Linked DNA regions of Sus scrofa. The protein of the gene in region 1 purifies or fractionates together with the protein of each later gene. This does not show direct contact. Links are inferred from orthologs where the notes say so. Each region holds a gene or a part of one and is shown on either strand. Other genes may lie near its edges.

The links.
Region 2: the proteins of GPR161 (region 1) and PRKACA purify together in Homo sapiens (affinity purification with mass spectrometry; 3 studies listed by BioGRID and IntAct, counting the BioPlex papers as one, with this or other methods). This does not show direct contact. The link is inferred for Sus scrofa from reciprocal best matches to the Homo sapiens genes GPR161 and PRKACA.

What each region holds. Positions count from the first base shown.
Region 1 is NC_010446.5:82,897,021-82,906,483, forward strand, and holds part of GPR161 (G-protein coupled receptor 161), read left to right. Parts: coding exon 1-22; intron 23-3,678; coding exon 3,679-3,798; intron 3,799-6,202; coding exon 6,203-6,468; 3' UTR 6,469-9,463. UniProt on the Homo sapiens protein: Key negative regulator of Shh signaling, which promotes the processing of GLI3 into GLI3R during neural tube development.
Region 2 is NC_010444.4:65,080,933-65,090,395, forward strand, and holds part of PRKACA (cAMP-dependent protein kinase catalytic subunit alpha), read left to right. Parts: intron 1-2,997; coding exon 2,998-3,059; intron 3,060-3,514; coding exon 3,515-3,643; intron 3,644-5,569; coding exon 5,570-5,668; intron 5,669-6,847; coding exon 6,848-6,930; intron 6,931-8,603; coding exon 8,604-8,730; intron 8,731-8,822; coding exon 8,823-8,918; intron 8,919-9,016; coding exon 9,017-9,139; intron 9,140-9,463.

The DNA.
Region 1 (9,463 bases):
TTCAGCTGCTCTCAGGACTCAGGTAAGCCTCTCGCCTTCCCGCTGGTAGGAGCTCATGGGAGGGCTGGCTCCCAGGATGTAAGGGACAGGAGTCAAGGGTTTCTAGTCATGGTTTTTATCTCTCTCTCTCTCTCTCTCTCTCTGTTTTTTTTTTTTTTTTGTCTTTTTCTAGGGCCGCATGTGTGGCATATGGAGATTCCCAGGCTAGGGGTCGAATCAGAGCTGTAACCAGCAGCCTATACCAGAGCCACAGCAACGCTGGATCCGAGCCTTGTCTGTGATCTACACCACAGCTCACGGCAACGCCAGATCCTTAACCCACTGAGTGAGGCCAGGGGTCGAACCTGCAACTTCATGGTTCCTAGTCGGATTCGTTAACCGCTGAGCCATGACGGGAACTCCAGTCACAGCTTTTAGCTTTCTAGCATCTCTGTGCTTCGGTTCCTTCCTGTAGATGGTGAGGACCTCAGCTCCTGTGCTTCCTGCCACCCAGTGGGGTTGTGAGATGCAGATTAAGTGAAAACCTTTGAAAAGTTAACATGTTAAGCTATTGTGAGTTGTTACTTGAGTTATAATAACTGCTGGCCTATGTGGACTCTGGCTGGAGTCAGCCAGCCCAGGTTTTCTTCTCAAATTGGCTTCTCAAGAACAGTGTTGAGGCAGGCTGCCTGTCTGTCTCTCTTTCTTTCTTTCTTTGTGTGTGTGTGTTTTTAGGGCCTCACTTAGGGAGTATGGAGGTTCCCAGGCTAGGGGTTGAATTGAAGCTGCAGCTGCCGGCCTACGCCAGAGCCACAGCAGCGCATCATCCGAGCCAAGTCTGTGACCTGCAACGCCGGATCTTTAACCCACTGACTAAGACCAGGGGTCGAACTTGCATCCTCATGGATACTAGTCAGGTTCATTACCACTGAGCCGTGATGGGAACTCCCTGCTCGTCTCTTTCCAAACCTTTGAGTTTCCCCATTTGTGATCTGGTACAACTGTCCCTCTGTCAGGGCAGAGTCAACAAGGTCGGGTGCCCTGTCACTGTTGTTACATGCCCTGCACCTGCCTGTGGGGAGCTCTGTCTCCCCGAAGAGACATCTCTACCAACATCCTCTAAACTCTCCCTGGAGCTGTTCCCAGGGGTTGGTGCAGACCTGGGGCTCCTCCCCTGAGCAGGGGGCTCTGTGATGTCACAGTCTGCGCCTGGCTTCCAGGCAGCCGAGTGCCACATCTTATGCTCAGATGACTGCGTCACCTCACCAGGCCCTAGGTGAGAGGCTTGTAGGCAGTGGCTGGTGGTGTCCCTCTGCCAGTCATTCATGGAGCTGACAGAGCAGCTCTTTGGGGGCTGTGTGAGTCTGAGTGTCTGTCTGAGTGCTGGGCACATGTGTGCTGGGGACGTGTGTGACAGACTGGCATCTGTCCATTTGAAAGGAGGGTGCCACGTCCTGGATCTCAAAGCACAGGCTTCCCTCTGTCCTCCTCCTTCTCTGCTGCTGCTGGAACCTTTGAAACGTCCTCTCTGCCTTGAGCTGTGTTTCCTGGCCTGAGCCTGTGTCATGGAATTCTATGTGTGGGGGCCATGGCCAGGGAGCCAGGCCAGGCCTCCTGTTATGGAGCGTTTCCCCCGGGCAGCCCAGAGGATTGAACCGCTGGTCACACCTTCCCTTGGAGGCCCGAGTCCCTGGTGTGATGTGAAGGACAGGAAGGCCTCTGTCCCTCCTCAGACCCCCGCCCGCTTCTCAGACCCCAACAGGGATCCAGAGGCAGAGTGACATTCGCTCATTAACAAATTTGTTTCTTTATTTGCCCAGCCACTGCTTTGACCAGATACCACACTAGGTGAGAAAGATGGGGTGAGCTGCCCTCACAGGGCTTGCTTTCTAGTGGTGAGGATGGCCATCCTGTGCACTTCAAATGGGCACTTGTGTGGGATGCAAATTACACCTCAGTAATTCTGCTCCGGGAAGCCAAGTGCCACAGGGACACAAAACAGAGTTGTGTGTGCTCTCTGTTGGAAAGGAATTGGTGGGAGGGAACATTAAAAAAGCTTCTCTGAGAAAGTGATGTTAAAACCTGAACAGGCAGAAAGGAGCGAGGGAGGGGACAGGGTTGTAGGTAGTAGAAGGAGCTTGGGCTTTGGGGTCCCACAGACCAAAGTGTGAGCTTTAGCCCCACAGTTTATTAGCTGTGTCCTCACAAGTGATGACTTCCAGTGATGAGGCACTTGCTGTGTGCCAGGCACTGTGTCACATGTGTACATGTTTCAACTCATAATCCTCCCAATAACTCTTAAGAGGTAGATGGAATTACGATAACCATTGTGCAAGCATGAAAAGATGCCAAGGGATTAAATCACCTGCCTGGGATCCTGGATCTGTCCCACTCTTGAACCTGTATGCTTAACCACCATATTACAAGCCTGCCGAAGGAATGTGCCTTTGCAAATCGTTCTTAAAGAACATGTGAGGAGCTCCAGGCTCCTCTTTTTTCTTTTCTTTCTTAGTTCCTTCCTCCTTCCTTCTCTTTCTCTCGCTTTCTTTCTTTCTTAAATGGCCACACCTGCAGCTTATGGAAGTTCCCAGGCAAGGGATCGTATTAGAGCTGCAGCTGCAGGCCTACACACAGCCACAGCAATTCAGGATCCAAGCCACATCCATGATCCATGCTGCAGCTTGTGGCGACACTGGGTCCTTAACCCAGTGCTCGAGGGCAGGAAATCAAACCCACATCCTCATGGACACTCTACCAGGTTCTTAACCTGCTAAGCCACAACGGAAACTCCAGGCTCCCCCTCTTTCCTAATTTCCTAAGCATCAAGGCCTTGAAAGACTGAAGGCTGGTCCCAACATCTGCCCTCCTTCCCTCCCACTCCCCCTGCCCATCAGCCCAGCTCTCTCTAATAGGCCTTCCTGCCGCTTTGCCTTTTCCCTCCACTTTATTTTTTTTTTTATTTTTTTTATTTTTTTGGTCCTTTTAGGGCCCCACCCGAGGCACACGGAGGTTCCCAGGCTAGGGGTTGAATCAGAGCTACAGCCGCTGGCCTACACCAGAGCCACAGCAACACGAATCCAAGCCACGTCTGTGACCTACACCACAGCTCATGGCAATGCCGGATCCTTAACCCACTGAGCAAGACCAGGGATCAAATCTGTGTCCTCATGGATGCTAGTCAGATTTGTTTCTGCTGCACCATGATGGGAACATCTCCCTCCACTCTTTAGGGGACATATTTTTCAATCCCTTCTTGATCCCCAAAGAAGTTTACATTTTCAGGTTTTAAATGTTTATTTAGGACAGCATATTTTAACTAGAAAGCTAGAAATTCAAACTGTAAGAAAAATCACTTGGAGCACAAAGCCCCTTTAATAGGGCCCCCTCCTCCACTCAGCCTGACTCCCCGTGCCCTCCGTTCCAGGTCTGGCACACTCAGCACTTCCAAGTAACCCATCCACCTGGATAACCTTGCTGTATTTTTGGTGTGTTTGAAGCAGCCCCAAAGCTGGCTGCAAACTCCTTGGAATGAAACAGTGTTTCTTGGGCAAATGCTGCAGGGCAGTTAGTCGCCCTTGACGGTGGGTTTGATTCAGTGGGAGAGAGGGATGCAAGGGGTGTTGAGAGCCAGCAAGAAAGGCAATGAGAAGGACTTGGTGGTGTTGCTGGGTTCCGGTGCACATCTGCCCTTGGTTTTAGGAACAGACGTGATGCTGCTCGAGGACTACACGTCTGACGACAACCCTCCCTCGCACTGCACTTGCCCACCCAAGAGGAGGAGCTCGGTGACATTCGAGGATGAAGTGGAACAAGTCAAAGGTTGGTTTCTGTCACTGATGCCTTTAGGAAAACAGGGGAAACGAAAGGATCTTTGGAAAATTCCTTGGCTCTGCCTGCCTCCACCCAACCAGGGCCCCACCTTCGCCCACCCTGATGTCGCTCCCGACCCTGCCAGTCTCACTGGAGTTCTTAGGTTTCCCAGCATCTAAGGCTAGGCAAGCAGTGGCCATGGTGCTGTATGTAGACACACACACAGAGCCACATACACAGCTACACACATGCATGGCACAGAGCTATACACACAGACACGTACACACAGCCACACAAATGCATACACAGCCACACACACGGCTCCACCCACATACACACACAACCCACATACCAGTTCTAGTCTCCCTCCCTCAGGAAGTTGCCTGACTGGATAAAACAGTTTCTGAGCCCTCTGTAGTTTCCTCTCCTTTATGGGTTACGTGTGGTTATAAATCTGAACGTGTCCTTCGGAGCCTCGGCTTCCTCACGTGGAAGACGGAAGCCATGCCCCGCGAGTGCCCTGCTCCAGCAGCACTAAAGGCTGCCGTCTTGAGTGTCTGTTGCCCAGAAGCTGGTAAGGGAGCTGGGATCCTGTGAGAGGAGTGCGTTCGGCTGTAGTCCAGTCCGATGTTTTTCTGCCCTACCTGTTCTGAATTCACCTCTCGGCACACATGTTGCCTCTGGAACTTGGGGTCTGGTTTCCCATCCTTTCCCATCCAGACAGGCTGATCCGAGGAGTGACCAAGGAGCCATCAGGCTGCGCATAGGTGTAAGACTCTCTTTGCCTCTGAATCCCACCGTATGAGGACAGCCACTCGCATGGCTGGGTGTGTATGTGGTGGAGGAGTCCGGGATCTGTAAGACATACATTCTTCAGAAATGCCGAGTATGAAAATAAATATGGGCTGGGTCAGAGCCTTAGGTTCATAATTAGTCCTATCTCTCTAGCACCCCTTCCTGATTCCAGATGAATGGTCATGGATGTCAGGGAGGCAGATGGCAAATTGTCTGCTTCACTGGCAAAGAGGATTCAAGAACAGAGCTTGGACCAGCAGCCTCATGGGCTTTATGATATATTACTCCCATATTTAAAAGAATTTTTATTACAGTTGATTTACAGTGTTCTGTCAATTTCTGCTGTACTGCAAAGTGACCCAGTTATATATATATGTGTGTGTGTGTGTATGTATATATGTATGTGTGTGTGTGTGTGTGTGTGTGTATATATATATATATATATATATATACTTTTTCTCACATTATCCTCCATCATATTCCATCACAAATGACTAGATATAGTTCCCTGTGCTACACAGCAGGACCTCATTGCTTATCCACTCCAGATGCTATACATCTACTAACTGCAAACTCCCAATCCATCCCACTCCTAACCTCTCTCCTGTGGCAACCACAAGTCTGTTTTCCACGTCCATGAGTTTGTTTCTTTTCTGTAGATAGTTTCATTTGTGCCATTTATTAGATTCCAGATATAAGTGATATCATACTGTATTTGTCTTTGTCTTTCTGACTTCACTTAGTATGAGAGTCTCTTGGTACAACCGCTATGGAAAACAGTATTCCCATATTTTAAAGAAATGGATTGAAATCCTCCTTAATCTAGCGAGCCCACACAAGGCCAAGCTTGCTCCATCAAGCCAACTGTTAGGGGACAGCAATTCCAAAGGCACCTTTCTACAGGCAGGAAGGAGAGTGGGCACATGTAAGATGCACCCCCCTCCCGCCAATGAGTGACAGGGCAGGGAGGGGCCACGTGGCCCCCGCAACTCTTTCCCTCTTGGAGAGTAGGATGGAAGTTGCCTACTGCAGAAAACTCGAAAAGTAGGGGATACACCTTTCCCCCCAAGATGTCAGGAGGAAATAAGCAATGAGGTTAATAGTCATAAGGCCCTGGGTATGAAATTGAAGGACCCCTCCCACCCTCCCATCTGTGCCCCATTGTTAGGGGGTAGTAATCCTGGGGGAACCGTTAATGAGCTTCCAGTCCTGAGGGTCTCCATGTGGCTCTGGGGAATCTCTGACCAAGAGTGGAGGGGCAGAGACAACATTCAGGTTTGTGGACATTTACAGCCGTAGCTACTCCAGGGAGCAGAAAGATCAGAGAACTCTTTCAACCATGTAAACATTTGAATATCCTCCTAGAAAGTATTTATTAAGCCTTTTCTACAAGCCAGGCCTAAGCTGGCATCTTAGGAAGAACTGTTTCATTATCACGGTAACCCCCTAAAGTAATGGCTATGCCACGATCTTCTCATTACAGATGAGGGAGCTGAGGTTAGATACATAGCCTCTAAGATTTCCCAGAGAGTAAGTTAAGATACTCCCCTCCCAGGCCAGTTCCAGAATGGCCATGGTCCTGGCCCCCCTCTAACTGTTTTTCTCCCTTCTCTCTCAGAAGCTGCCAGGAACCCTATTCTTCATGTGCGAGCCGACGTGCATAAGTCCTTGGACAGTTACGCAGCCAGCCTGGCCAAAGCCATTGAGGCTGAAGCCAAAATCAACTTATTTGGGGAGGAGGCTTTGCCTGGGGTCTTGCTGGCGGCACGGACGGTGCCAGGGGCTGGCTTTGGGAGTCGCCGGGGCAGCAGAACTCTGGCGAGTCAGAGGCTGCAGCTGCAGAGCATCGACGAGGGGAACATTTTAGCTGCAGAACAGAGATGAGGGCCTCCCCGCAGGATGCCCATTCCCGTCTGGGCCAGGGCCCTGGGAGCAACATCTGGTCTTCAGTCATCAGACGAAAAACCTCTGAACACAACGTCTGTGAGTGACTTCGGTGTCTGTTGTGAGACCCCACCAGGCTTCTTGTGGGCCCCAGTGACGAGACCAGAGGCACCTAGAGCATAAAGAAAAGCAGGTGGAGGTGTGGTTGTGACTTTGTGGGAGGCGGGGCTGAGAGGGGGACTGGTGAGCACGGCCGGGAGGAAACCACCATGTGGGTCGCTTCCTCTTCTTCACAACCTGTGTCCTGGGAGTCCAGCCACGCACTGTCCCAAGGCCTCAGGCGAGCCCTTCCCGATGCACTTTGGAGGACGGCACTTCCGTGTAGTGGGTCTGGGCCGTGTGGGGCCGTCAGTTCTGCACTAAACGGTCCCCAGAAGAGAATCCAGCAGCAGAGCACCCCAGATCCATTTGCCACACGCTGTGTCCTGGTTATGACTTTGCCTTTGGTGGAGACACCTGCTGGTGCTAGAGGGGACAGGCCGGGGGCCCAGGGGGATGTTGTTGCTGAGAACAAGGCCCATCGTGTCCGCCTCCCTGTGGGCTTATTCTTTGATGTTTCAAAAGCAGGGAGAAACCACTGTAAAAGACAGGAGAGAGGCGCAGATACCAGATGTTTCATTTCTAGTTTTAAAAAACAATCCGTTTGGTTAGGACGCACCATGATCTTACTGAGCCCGAACGGGGCCACAGGGCCACGTGCTGCTGGGAAATAGAGATACTGTTGGAATCCTGTCACATAGGAAAACGTCGTGGAATAGATTCTGTTTGTGAGGTTTGATTGACCATTTAGATTAGCTGGCTGCCAGGTGCACAGGGAGTTCTCCCGTAGGCAGCAGCTACTAGTTCCCTGCCCTGGGCAGTTTGAGACAAGAGAGACTTGGAGTGAGCAACCTGCCTTCTGGCCTGGCTCTGTCTTACCTTATCATTTGGGACTTCTGTCACCTCTAGGAATCTGGGAAATGAGATAAGGGATTGGAGAGTTGGATTGAATGGTTGCCAGGATCATTTCTAACTCTGGTCTTTGATGTTTTTGAATTTGTAGCTTAGGGAAAAAAAAAAAAGGGCATCCCATGGACTAACATTTGCACAGTTTTTGTGTGTGGCTTCTCATGTGTGTGTGTGGAGGGGTGGGCTGGTCCAGTTGGTCTATTACGAGCATGTCCTGACACAGTGCCAACCAGCAAGACACATAAATGGGGCCAGAGGGCACCTCCTCGAGGTGAAAGGGGAGCTGCGGATTATGGTTCATATGCTGGATCTTCCCCGCCTCCCGTGAGTCAGGATGGCAGTTGAAGTGGGGGCTTGGAGTCAGGTCTGTGCTGACTGGAACCACCTGTGCCTGCCCTTCAGCCTGAATGATTAAATCAGCCAAGTGCAGGACCTTCCCCGCCTTCAGAATTCCAGGTGATTGGCAAAGGGTAGATTCCAAGATCCAGCTGCGTCTGCTACAGGGGCAGCTGTTCCAGAAAGTGAATGACCTTTGCAGTGTTCTTTGGGGTCTAGCTAGCTCTTGGTGAGGCAGTGTCTCTACTGTGTGGCTGGTCCCCTAGTGTGCAGTTTACAAAAGACTTTCCTGAGACCTGGGGGCTTGCTAACCTTCCCAATGATCATCTGATCATCAACAACCCCTGTGGGTCAGCTGGGTGCCAGGCACTGGTCGGATTCTGGATGAGAGTGGGAAGAAGCAGGTGGCTTTTCCAGAGGAGCAGAGGGCAGTTTCACCTGTGGGTTCTGCTGATAAGATGTGCAGATCAGGGAGTTCCTTTTGTGGCTCAATGGGTTAAGAACCTAGCGAGTATCCATGAGGATGCCGGTTTGACTGCTGGCCTTGCTCAGTGGGTTAAGGATCTGGCACTGCAGCAAGCATAGGTGTAAGTCACAGATGTGGGCTCGAATCTGGCATTGCTGTGGTGGTGATGTAGGTTGGCAGCTGCAGCTCTGATTCGACAGCTAGCCTAGGGACTTCCATATGCTGCAGGTGCAGTCCTAAAAAGAAAAAAGAAAAAAAAAAAAGATGTGTAGATCAGTCAGACTCTGCTCTCACTCCTGGGTGGCATGCCTAAATCTGAGGGCATTTATGTTCCCTATGTGTGATTTTTTTTTTTCCCCTAGCACTTGTCCTTGTCTAGTTTCTAAAGGGGCTATATTCCTGAGCATCTAGTGTGCACTGAGGTGGAACAGGGCAGAGAGACCTTTACAGGCAAGTTAGAGTAACTCACGATGGCCCCCAGGCTAGGCCTTTTTGAGTGCCGCAAAGTGGCTTGCAACCCAAGGGTTGGAGAGTACTTCCCCTGGACTGTAGTTGGCTGGGCTCTAGGGAAAGAGTCCTGGGACCCACCAGGTCCCCACTGGCTGATCCTAGACTAGCTGCGATACACTGGGATTTAATCTAAGCTAATCTAAAAGTACAAAAGCGTTCTCTGTGTTTGCCCTTTTCCGCTGAGGTCTGTTTATTCATCTACCAGGCATCACATCTATGTGCAAAGCATTGTAAACATTGGTTACTACTTGATTACTAACACTGGCTCTGTGAGTAGTAACATTAGAGTGTTTTCACTCTAACATAGGGAGAGACCTGGAGGCGACTGAGGCTAAATAGCAAAGTCAGGTAATGATTATTGAAAGAACTGCAGACTCCAGAGGGAGGTGATTATTTCCAAGTAGAGGAGTTGGAGGCAGCTCCGTGCAGAAGGTGACTGCTGGCACCAAACCTTGGAGGATGTCTGGCAGCTAGAACTATATTTTGAATATTCAGGAATTCAGTTTCCTTGATACGGCCTGAGTGGAAAAAGAAGAGCAAGAAGGAGGTGGGTGAGGAGAGGAAGACATCACCCAGTACACTGAGAGGCATTTTTTTACTGGCACATGGAAGTTCCTGAGCCAGGGATCAAACCCGTGCCACAACAGTAACCAGAGCTGCTGCAGTGACAACACT
Region 2 (9,463 bases), on another chromosome or scaffold:
CTACCAAACCCACCCCTCTCTGCCTCCGAGGGCAGGTGACAGTAGGGTCCCAAGAGGGACGTTCACTCCCACCTTCATCCAGAATTCAACGTGGATGTTTGGCGTTTTCCAAGGAAGTTGTTGTGTGTCCAAAAAAATGGTGCCTTGTGGCGTTAAAGATCCAGCATTGCCACTGCAGAGGCTCAGGTTGCAGCTGTGGTGCAGGTTCAGTCCTGGGCCCAGGAACTTCCACATGCCACAAGTATGGCCAAAAAAAAAAAAAAGGATTCTACTGGCAAAAGCACTGGATGTGGTGGTGTAGTCCCCAAGCTCAGAGAGGTCTTAAGACAGTTGGTGGCCCACTCAGGCACCAGCCTAGGACTCTTGGCCATTTCTTGACTCTGCCCAGTCATTCTTTGTAGGGCTTTCCTGACCAACAGTCTCTCCTCCATCTGCCACCCTTGGAGCCTCAGGGAAGGTTCTTCTCCTTCAATGCTGAGGGGGAGCGTTGGGGACAGTGGAGAGGTGGCTACCCACAAGGCTGGGTGGGATTCCTGGCACTGCATATAGGTGACAGGCAAGGTCAAAGTACAAGTGTGCAGGATTCCTCAGGATGGTAACTTCCCCAGAACATCAGGGTTGAGGACAGCTCCGTCCATGGGCCACCCTGGTAACCTGGGACCAGTCAGAAGCCAAGCAGTTAATCTCGTGGGCAGAGGGGTCCAGGAAGTGATCTGAGACCAGTCTTCTCATCTATCCAATGAGAGTAATAGCTCTGAGCCATCAGGGTAGGAGTGAAGCATAGAAGCACTAAGCACAGAGATGGCACACAGGGAGGGTCCCTGAGTAACAGCATGCCTGACCCCAGGTGGTGGTTACAAGGGCAAGTCCCTAACCTGAGAATCCTTCAGACTGCACATTTAAGATGTGAGCCCTCAATGTTTGGCCTGGATTTTATGCCTCCATTCAAAAAATACTTAAGGAGTTCCTTTTGTGGCGCAGTGGAAACGAATCCAACTAGGAACCATGAGGTTGCGGGTTCGATCCCTGGCCTCACTCAGTGGGTTAAGGATCTGGCGTTGCTGTGAGCTGTGATTTAGGTCACAGACATGGCTCAGATCCTGTGTAGTTGCAGCTGTGGTATAGGCTGGCAGCTGTAGCTCTGATTTGACCCCTAGCCTAGGAACCTCCATATGCCAAGGGTGCAGCCCTAAAAAGCAAAAAAAAAAAAAAACTTAAAAGAGGAGTCCCCACCGTGGCTCAGTGGTTAACGAACCCAACTAGCATCCATGAGGATGCAGGTTCGATCCCTGGCCTCACTCATTGGTTCAAGGATCCAGCATTTCCGTGAGCTGTGGTGTAGGTCGCAGACGTGGCTCAGATCCCGAGTTGCTGTGGCTCTGGCATAGGCCAGCGGCTACAGCTCCAATTGGACCCCTAGCCTGGGAATCTCCATATGCTGCCACCCTAAAAAGACAAAAAAAGAAATACTTAAAATTAATAGCTAAGTTTTTGAAAATGCTCTTGAAGTATAGTTCATTTACAACGTGTTAATTTCTGCTGTACAGCAGTGGTTCAATTAAACGTATACATACTTTTTCATATTCTTTTGCATTATGGTTTATCACAGGATATTGAATATAGTTCCCTGTGCTCTACACTAGCACCTTGTTGTTTATCCATCCTATATATAATTGTTCGCATCTGGGAGTTCCTATTGTGGCTCAACAGGTTAAGAACCAGACTAGTATCCATGAGGATGCCAGTTTGATCCCTGGCCCCACTCAGTGGGTTAACATTTGGTGTTACCACAAGCTTCGGTGCAGGTTGCAGATGCGTCTCAGATCTGGCATTGCTGTAGCCATGGTGTAGGCCCGCAGCTGCGGCTCCAATTCAATCCCTAGCCTGGAACTTCCATACTTCTGTGGGTACAGACCTAAAAAGGAAAAAAAAAAAAAAAAAAAGATAGCTTGCATCTGAATGGCTGACATTTATATGGCACTAACTCTGTGCTGGCCACCATCCGAACCCCCTTTGCCAAAATTAACTCATTCAGTCCTCATAACCACCCTGCCAGGTCATTAGTGTTATCATTCCCATTTTACAGAGGAAAACTGAGGCCCAGAAGTGAGGTCATTTGCCTAAGGCCACACAGCTCATCGGGGACTAGGCCAGGATCTGAACTTGATCTTATCCCAGAGTCCTGGCCTTAACTACTTTGTCAGGCCACCTCTGCATTGGCCGGAATGCCTCTTTCAGGTCTCAGTTTACTAGGGTGATAAATGGGGAGAATGGCTAAAAGGAAAGTTGGCAAGTGAACCAAATGAGTCAGTGGACACAAAGCAGCAAGCCCAGGGTCCGCCAAGATGTCTTCAATGCTAGCTGAATGGTGATGTTTGCCTTGGGGTGCAGAGGGGCCTGTAGGGGGTGGGCATCAGGCGAGGCTTCCCTTGAACCAGCTCTGGAATGAGGGCCCCTCTGTTGGCAAAGGCGAGAATGGGGCCAGCTGGGGGCCAAGGCAACAGCTGAACCCCCCCCCAAGGGTGCCTGCTACCCGAGCCCCAGAGGCCTCCACCCCAGGCCTGGCCTCCTCAGAGAAGGGGCCAGAGGAGCAGCCAAATCCGAGGCTATAAATACCACGGCTGGCGTCGTCCCTGGCCGTGGAATGTCAGTCAGAACTGGGGCAAGTGGGGGTGGGCTGGCCTGGGCGCCGCTCTCTGTCCCCCTGAGAGTGACCCCTCGAGTCACCCTGTCTTCCGTTTTGGACAGAATTGAGGCTGGATCCCAGCTCTCTGTAGTATAGAGGACCCAGGCCCCAGCCCAGATCAGGGCCCCCGCCGCCCGCCCGCCCCAAGTTACCCTCAGTTTCAGCCAGGGCACCGGAAGGCACTGGAAGAAGGTCAAGCTCTGGGTTGAGACAATTGCACCCCACTTTCCACAAAGCAGCGCCTCCCCAGGACTAGCCCGGACCCACACTAACAAGATGGGGTCTCTCTCTCTCACCTTTCTTCCTTTCAGTGAAAGAGTTCTTAGCCAAAGCCAAAGAAGATTTTCTTAAAAAATGGGAAAATCCTGCTCAGGTAAGCCCCCTGGGAGGGCTGACATGATGGCCCCTTGATACCCAACTGCATCCCTGGCATGACTGGGATTTCTAGGGCCCTAAGGAGGGCTCCAGACCTGCCCTCATTCACTCCTGAGATGCCCACGGAGGCTCCTGGGCAAAGGCACCTGATCACCCACTGCCAGGCTCCCCCACCCACCACCCTCTTCCAACTGGCGGCCCCTGCCCCCCAGGCAGCTGCCAGCAGCTCCTGGGCCCCAGGCCAGGGCCGGATCTGGCCCCTGCCACCAGCCTTAAGGAATGCGCCCTCTGCCATCTTGTTTTTCCGCCCCCTGTCCTCACCCTCCTGACTCCACCTGGTCCCCAGGGCCCCCTCTGCTGGTGGCACAAGGGATGCCCCAAATTTCAGGCTGCAGGGTAGGTTGAGGGTGGGAGGGGTTGTTCTCTGACCCCCCCAGACCCCTCCGCCCACAGAATACAGCCCATTTGGATCAATTTGAACGAATCAAGACCCTCGGCACGGGCTCCTTCGGGCGGGTGATGCTGGTGAAGCACAAGGAGACTGGGAACCACTTTGCCATGAAGATCCTCGACAAACAGAAGGTGAGCCCAGCCCTGCCACAAGGCCCTGGTCCGACCCACTAGGGCTTTGCCTGGGCTGTTCCCACCACCTGCAGCGCTCTTCCCACCCATCTGCTCACCAGCTATTTCCTGAACCTCCAAAATGTGCCAAATCCAAGGGCAGGAAAGGGTACCACGCTCCTTCAGGAAGCTTCCCCTCCTGGGTAGCCACTGATGCAAATTTAGGCATTAGACCTGGGGTCAGACACCTCGCCTGTATGGAGGAAGTCAGGAGGAAGTGATGTTTACACAGACCTTCTTTCTGTAAATATTTTTGAGACCCTGCTTTTTGCCAGGCACTGCTCTAGAGCAGCACCATCCAGGAGAAATATCACACAAGCCACATACGGTTTTAGATTTTCTAGGAGTTTCCTGGTGGCTCAGCGGGTTAAGAATCTGGCATTGTCGCTGTTGTGGCTTGAGTTGCTATGGTGGTGCAGATTCGATCCCTGGCCTGGGAACTTCTGCACACCACCAGCACAGCCAAAAATAAATAAAGTAAATAAGTTTTCTAGAATCCTAATTAAAATTTTTTTTAAAAAAACAGGTAGAATTCATTTTAACCACGTGTTGTAATTAAGTCAGTATGTCTACAATATTATCATTTCAGCTAATGTAACTAGTGTAGAAATATCATTCATGAGATGTCTTACATTTTTCTTCCACACTAAGTCTTATAAATCCAGTGTGTATTTTACACTTATGTCTCCATTCAGATGTTAATTTTCACTGGAAAGACAAGAAAAAGTGGAGAAGTTGAAAAAGCAGACTCACACAGGGAGTTCCCATCGTGGCTCAGTCGTTAACAAATCCAACTAGGAACCATGAGGTTGCGGGTTCGATCCCTGGCCTTGCTCAGTGGGTTAAGGATCCAGCATTGCCGTGAGCTGTGGTGTAGGTCGCAGACGCGGCTCAGATCCCGTGTTGCTGTGGCTCTGGCATAGACTGGGCTGCTGCAGCTCCGATTCGACCCCTAGCCTGGGAACCTCCATCTGCCGTGGGAACGGCCCAAGAAATGGCAAAAAAGACAAAAAAAAAAAAACCAAAAAACAGACTTACACAGCCCAAATTGTTCCAAACAGGCTTGAAAGTTGTCTGGTGCCTGCACTGAGTATCAGTTTTTAAATTTTAGACACTTCAAATTTTAAACTCAGTTCCACGTTTCAGCCAGCCACATTTCAGCAGACGAGTGGCTAGTGTGGACTCTACTGGACAGTGCAAGTGTAGACCCAAAGGCTGCAGCTGTGAGCAAAGCAGAAGAAAGCCCCAGTGCAGTGGTTTAGCGCTGACCAAAGGGCTAGGCTGCCTGCTTGTGACAGGCGGGCCTGACACTGACTAGCTACACTTGACCTTGGGCAAGTCACTTACTCTCTCTGCATCCAAACTAGCATGCTCTCGGGGCGTACCCCTCCAGGCTCCTGTCACAGCGTGTGAGGCACCTCCTGGGGACAGCTGAGGCCAAGGAGGAACTACCCCAGGTTTTAGGTGGATGTGGTGGGGGGTGGGGGGGTGCTCTAGATGCAGGAAAGGTATTTCTAATCCCTCCACCCCTTGAGTGTTCCTCCTGCCTGTCCAGTTTCAGCTCAGCTGCCCTTTCCTCCAGGAAGCCTTCTCTGATGCCCCCCCTTCCCACAGACTTCACTGGGCACCTTACCTGGGCATCCACAGGCCCTGAGCTTCCCCCACCACAGCTCTGACCCCTGTGACCTGGTGACTGAATGTGTTCTTGCTCTGAACTGCATGCCATGTGGGACAGGCTCCCAGCCCAGGGCTTGACAGGCCCCAGGCACTCAAATGATTCTGGATGAAGGCAGGGGCCCAGCCCTGGCACCCCTGTTTTGGGGCAGCAGGGAAGACGAAGACCCTCTCACACCCCTTCCTCTCCACCCTCCCCTCCTCCCACCACAGGTGGTGAAGCTGAAACAGATTGAGCACACCCTGAATGAAAAGCGCATCCTGCAAGCAGTCAACTTCCCGTTCCTTGTCAAACTCGAGTTCTCCTTCAAGGTGAGGTCCCAGCGGCCGCCACCCAGGGCCACTGTGGGTGGTGCAGCCTCTCGGTTCCCAGAACTGAGGCTGGGCCAGCAACAACCAGTAGCTGCCCAAGAAGGCAGGCCCACTGATGGGGGAGAAGGAGACCCAGGGTTAGGGGTCAAGTCAGCTTAGGGCTCTGACAGACCCAAGTTCAACCAGGCCTGACAACTTCTAGCTTGATAACCTTGGGCAAGTCACCCAACCTCAGTAACATTCCTCAAACTCATCACTCCATTTACAGGAAGAACCTGACACACGGCCATAAAATGTGCCACTCAGCCTAGGTTCAAATCCATGTACTTCCTGGCCGTGTGACCCTGGCGAGGAATGCCCCTGAGCCTTTGTTTCTTCATCTGTAAAATGGGGATCATAGCAGTTTCTACATGGTGGGGTTGCCATGACAGTTCCAAGCACATCATCAAATCGCCCAAGCCCTGTGTGAGCCATCTGGGGTGCTGACGTAAGTGGTGACTGCAAGAGCTGGAAAGGTCACTCAGCTTAGGTCACTCACCCCAGCAGTCATGAAGACCCCACACTTAGTTTAAGGCACTGCTGCCACTGTCTTGAGATTCATAATTAATTTTTTAACAAGGGGCTTCATACTTTTATTGTGGAGAGGGGGTGCCCAGAAATTCTGTAGTCCATCCTGGTCCCATTTGACAGATGATAAAACTGTGGCCCCAAGAGCCTCGCCGAAGATAGTCACAGACATGAACCACTACAGGGTTCTCTCTGCAGCCCGGGCATGCTGGCCAGGTCCCTTATGTACCTCTAGCCAGCCCTTATTACTTTTAGCCCCAATAAGCAGGATACTGGCAATCCCTTCTTTCTTCCAGGCAGTAGGAAATGAGACAGGAGTTCTCTGGTGGCTCAGCAGGTTAAGGATCCAGTGTCATCACTGCTGGGGCACGGGTTTGGTTCCTGGCCTGGGAACTTCTGCATGCCCGTAGACACAGCCAAAAAAAAGGGGGCGGGGAGGAAATGAGACAGGTAATCAGTGAGCACAGCGCCCAGCACTTAGTACGTGCTTCTCGTGGGAGCCAAGATTGTTGTCATTTTATTTCTGAACATCCGCCAGATCAGGGTGGCAGGCCTTCAGATGGGGCCCATGGCTTGGGGAATGGGGCTCTGATCAGCTGCTGCTTCCCGCAGGACAACTCAAATTTATACATGGTCATGGAATATGTGCCTGGTGGGGAGATGTTCTCACACCTGCGGAGGATCGGGAGGTTCAGGTGAGCCAGCCACCCCCTGCCACACTGGGCCTGGGGCTGTCCATGGGCGTCATCTATGGAAGTGGCCTCTCCAGGTTCCTATGGGTTCTTGCCTCTCCCTGAGCTGAGGAATCTCTGATGTCTCAACTACCACGAAATAAAACAAGCATAGTGACTTAGGTGTCTCCATGTGAGTGGGCGAGTTTATATTGTTTTTAAATTTATCCTGTCGTTTCATTTTATTTCTTTTTTGTTTGTTTGTTTGTTTGTTTTTTAGGTCCACACCTGAAGCATATGGAAATTCCCAGGCTAGGGGTCCAATTGGAGCCATAGCCACCACCCACAACACCACCAGATCCGAGCCACGTCTGCGACCTACGCCACAGGTCACAACAACACTGGATCCTTAACCCACTGAGTGAGGCCAGGGATCGAACCTGCATCCTCACAGATACTACTCAGATTTGTTACTAGTCAGATTCGTTACTGCTGAGCCACAGCGGGAACTCCTCATTGTATTTCTTTATACAGATACTCACTTTACACACAAGAAAATGCACAGGTTTTCAATGATCTGTCCCGTGAGTTTTGACAGCTACATGCACTTATGTAACCACTACCCCAAGAAATTCCCTCAAATACTTTTCTTGGCAAATCGCTGCCCCAACAAAGGCAAATGTCCTTTCTGGCTGTAAGCACCGTAAATGTGTTTGGTCCAAGTCTGGACTCAATATAAATGGAATCACACAGTTCACATTCTTCTGTCCTTTCTTCTCATGCCTTCCATAATCACTTTGAGATCCAGCCACACCATTGGGTATATTCATCGTTTGTCCTGGAGGTGGTGTTGGGTAGGATTCCATTGTATGAAGCTTTCGAAATCTGGGATTCCATTTCTCTGTGGATGGACATTTGGGCTGTTTCCATTTTAGAGCTATATGTGAATAAGGCTGCTCTGCTGATGCATTTTGGGTTTTTGTGTGTGTGTGGTTTTGTTTTTGTTTTTGCTTTTTGTGTTTTTCTGTTTAGGGCTGCACTCAAGGCATATGGAAGTTCCCAGGCTAGGAATCGAATCAGAGCTATAGCTGCCTGCCTGCCCCATAGCCACAGCAACGCCAGATCTGAGCCACATCTGCAACCTCCACCGCAGCTTGTGGCAACACCAGATCCTTAACCCAGTAAGTGAGGCCAGAGATTGAACTTACATCCTCATGGATACTAGTCAGGATCTTAACACGCTGAGCCATAATGGGAAATCCTGCTGATGGTCTTTTTTTTTTTTTTTTTTTTTTTTTCCGCTTTTTAGGGCCGCAACATATGGAGGGTCCCAGACGAGGGGTCAAATCAGAGCTATAGCTGCCACCTACACCATAGCCACAGCAACACAGGATCCGAGCCGGGTCTGCAACCTACACCACAGCTCACAGCAACGCCAGATCCTTAACCCACTGAACAAGGCCAGGGATTGAACCCGCAACTTCATGGTTCCTAATCAGATTCATTTCCCCTGTGCTGCGATGGGAACTCTTTTTTTTTTTTTTTTTTTTTTTTTTTTTTTTTTTTTTAATACTGATGCATTTTTGATAGCTAGGCTGGAGGCACCTCTCCAGGCTCACTTGCTGGACCATTTGCAGGAGGTCCTGCTGCTGTGTCCACCCTCACCCACCCATCCTCTCCCCTCTTGTCCCCATCAGTGAGCCCCATGCCCGCTTCTACGCGGCCCAGATTGTCCTGACCTTCGAGTACCTGCACTCGCTTGATCTCATCTACCGGGACCTGAAGCCGGAGAACCTTCTCATCGACCAGCAGGGCTACATTCAGGTGCCCACTGGGCCAGGGGAGGGGCAGCCCCAGGTGACTGTGGCGTGAATCCTCCCTGCCTCCCCACCAACTGCCTGTTCTTGTGCCCACAGGTGACAGACTTCGGTTTTGCCAAACGTGTGAAAGGCCGCACCTGGACTTTGTGTGGGACACCCGAGTACCTGGCCCCTGAGATCATCCTGAGTAAAGTAGGCGCTTCCCTACCCCTCCCACCACCCTGAGACCGGCTCCGCCAGCGCCCCCGCTTCACCCTTCTCCCCTCACCTGCACACCCCCCTCACTCCAGGGCTACAACAAAGCTGTGGACTGGTGGGCCCTGGGGGTTCTCATCTATGAGATGGCCGCTGGCTACCCGCCCTTCTTCGCTGACCAGCCCATCCAGATCTACGAGAAGATTGTCTCCGGGAAGGTGAGGCCTGGATTCAGGGGCTTGGCCCCCAGACAGACCCCTTGCCCACCCATCCTGCTCTCCATGGAGCCCTATGCATTGTCACAACAATCTAGAGGTTCATTAAGCCCGGCCAGGGGGTGATACCAGGCACACCACTTGCCACACTAACTAAAGCCACCACTTCACACAGCCTTGGTGGCTGATTCTAGGACCCACAGTGCCAAAATCCCACAGGTATCCAAAACCCTCAGCCTCACCCAAACTCCTGCCTGGCTCAACATGAGGCTCTTCTCGCCTCTAGTCTAGTCTGGTCGTCCTTAGGGTGAGTTTTCACAAACTTCT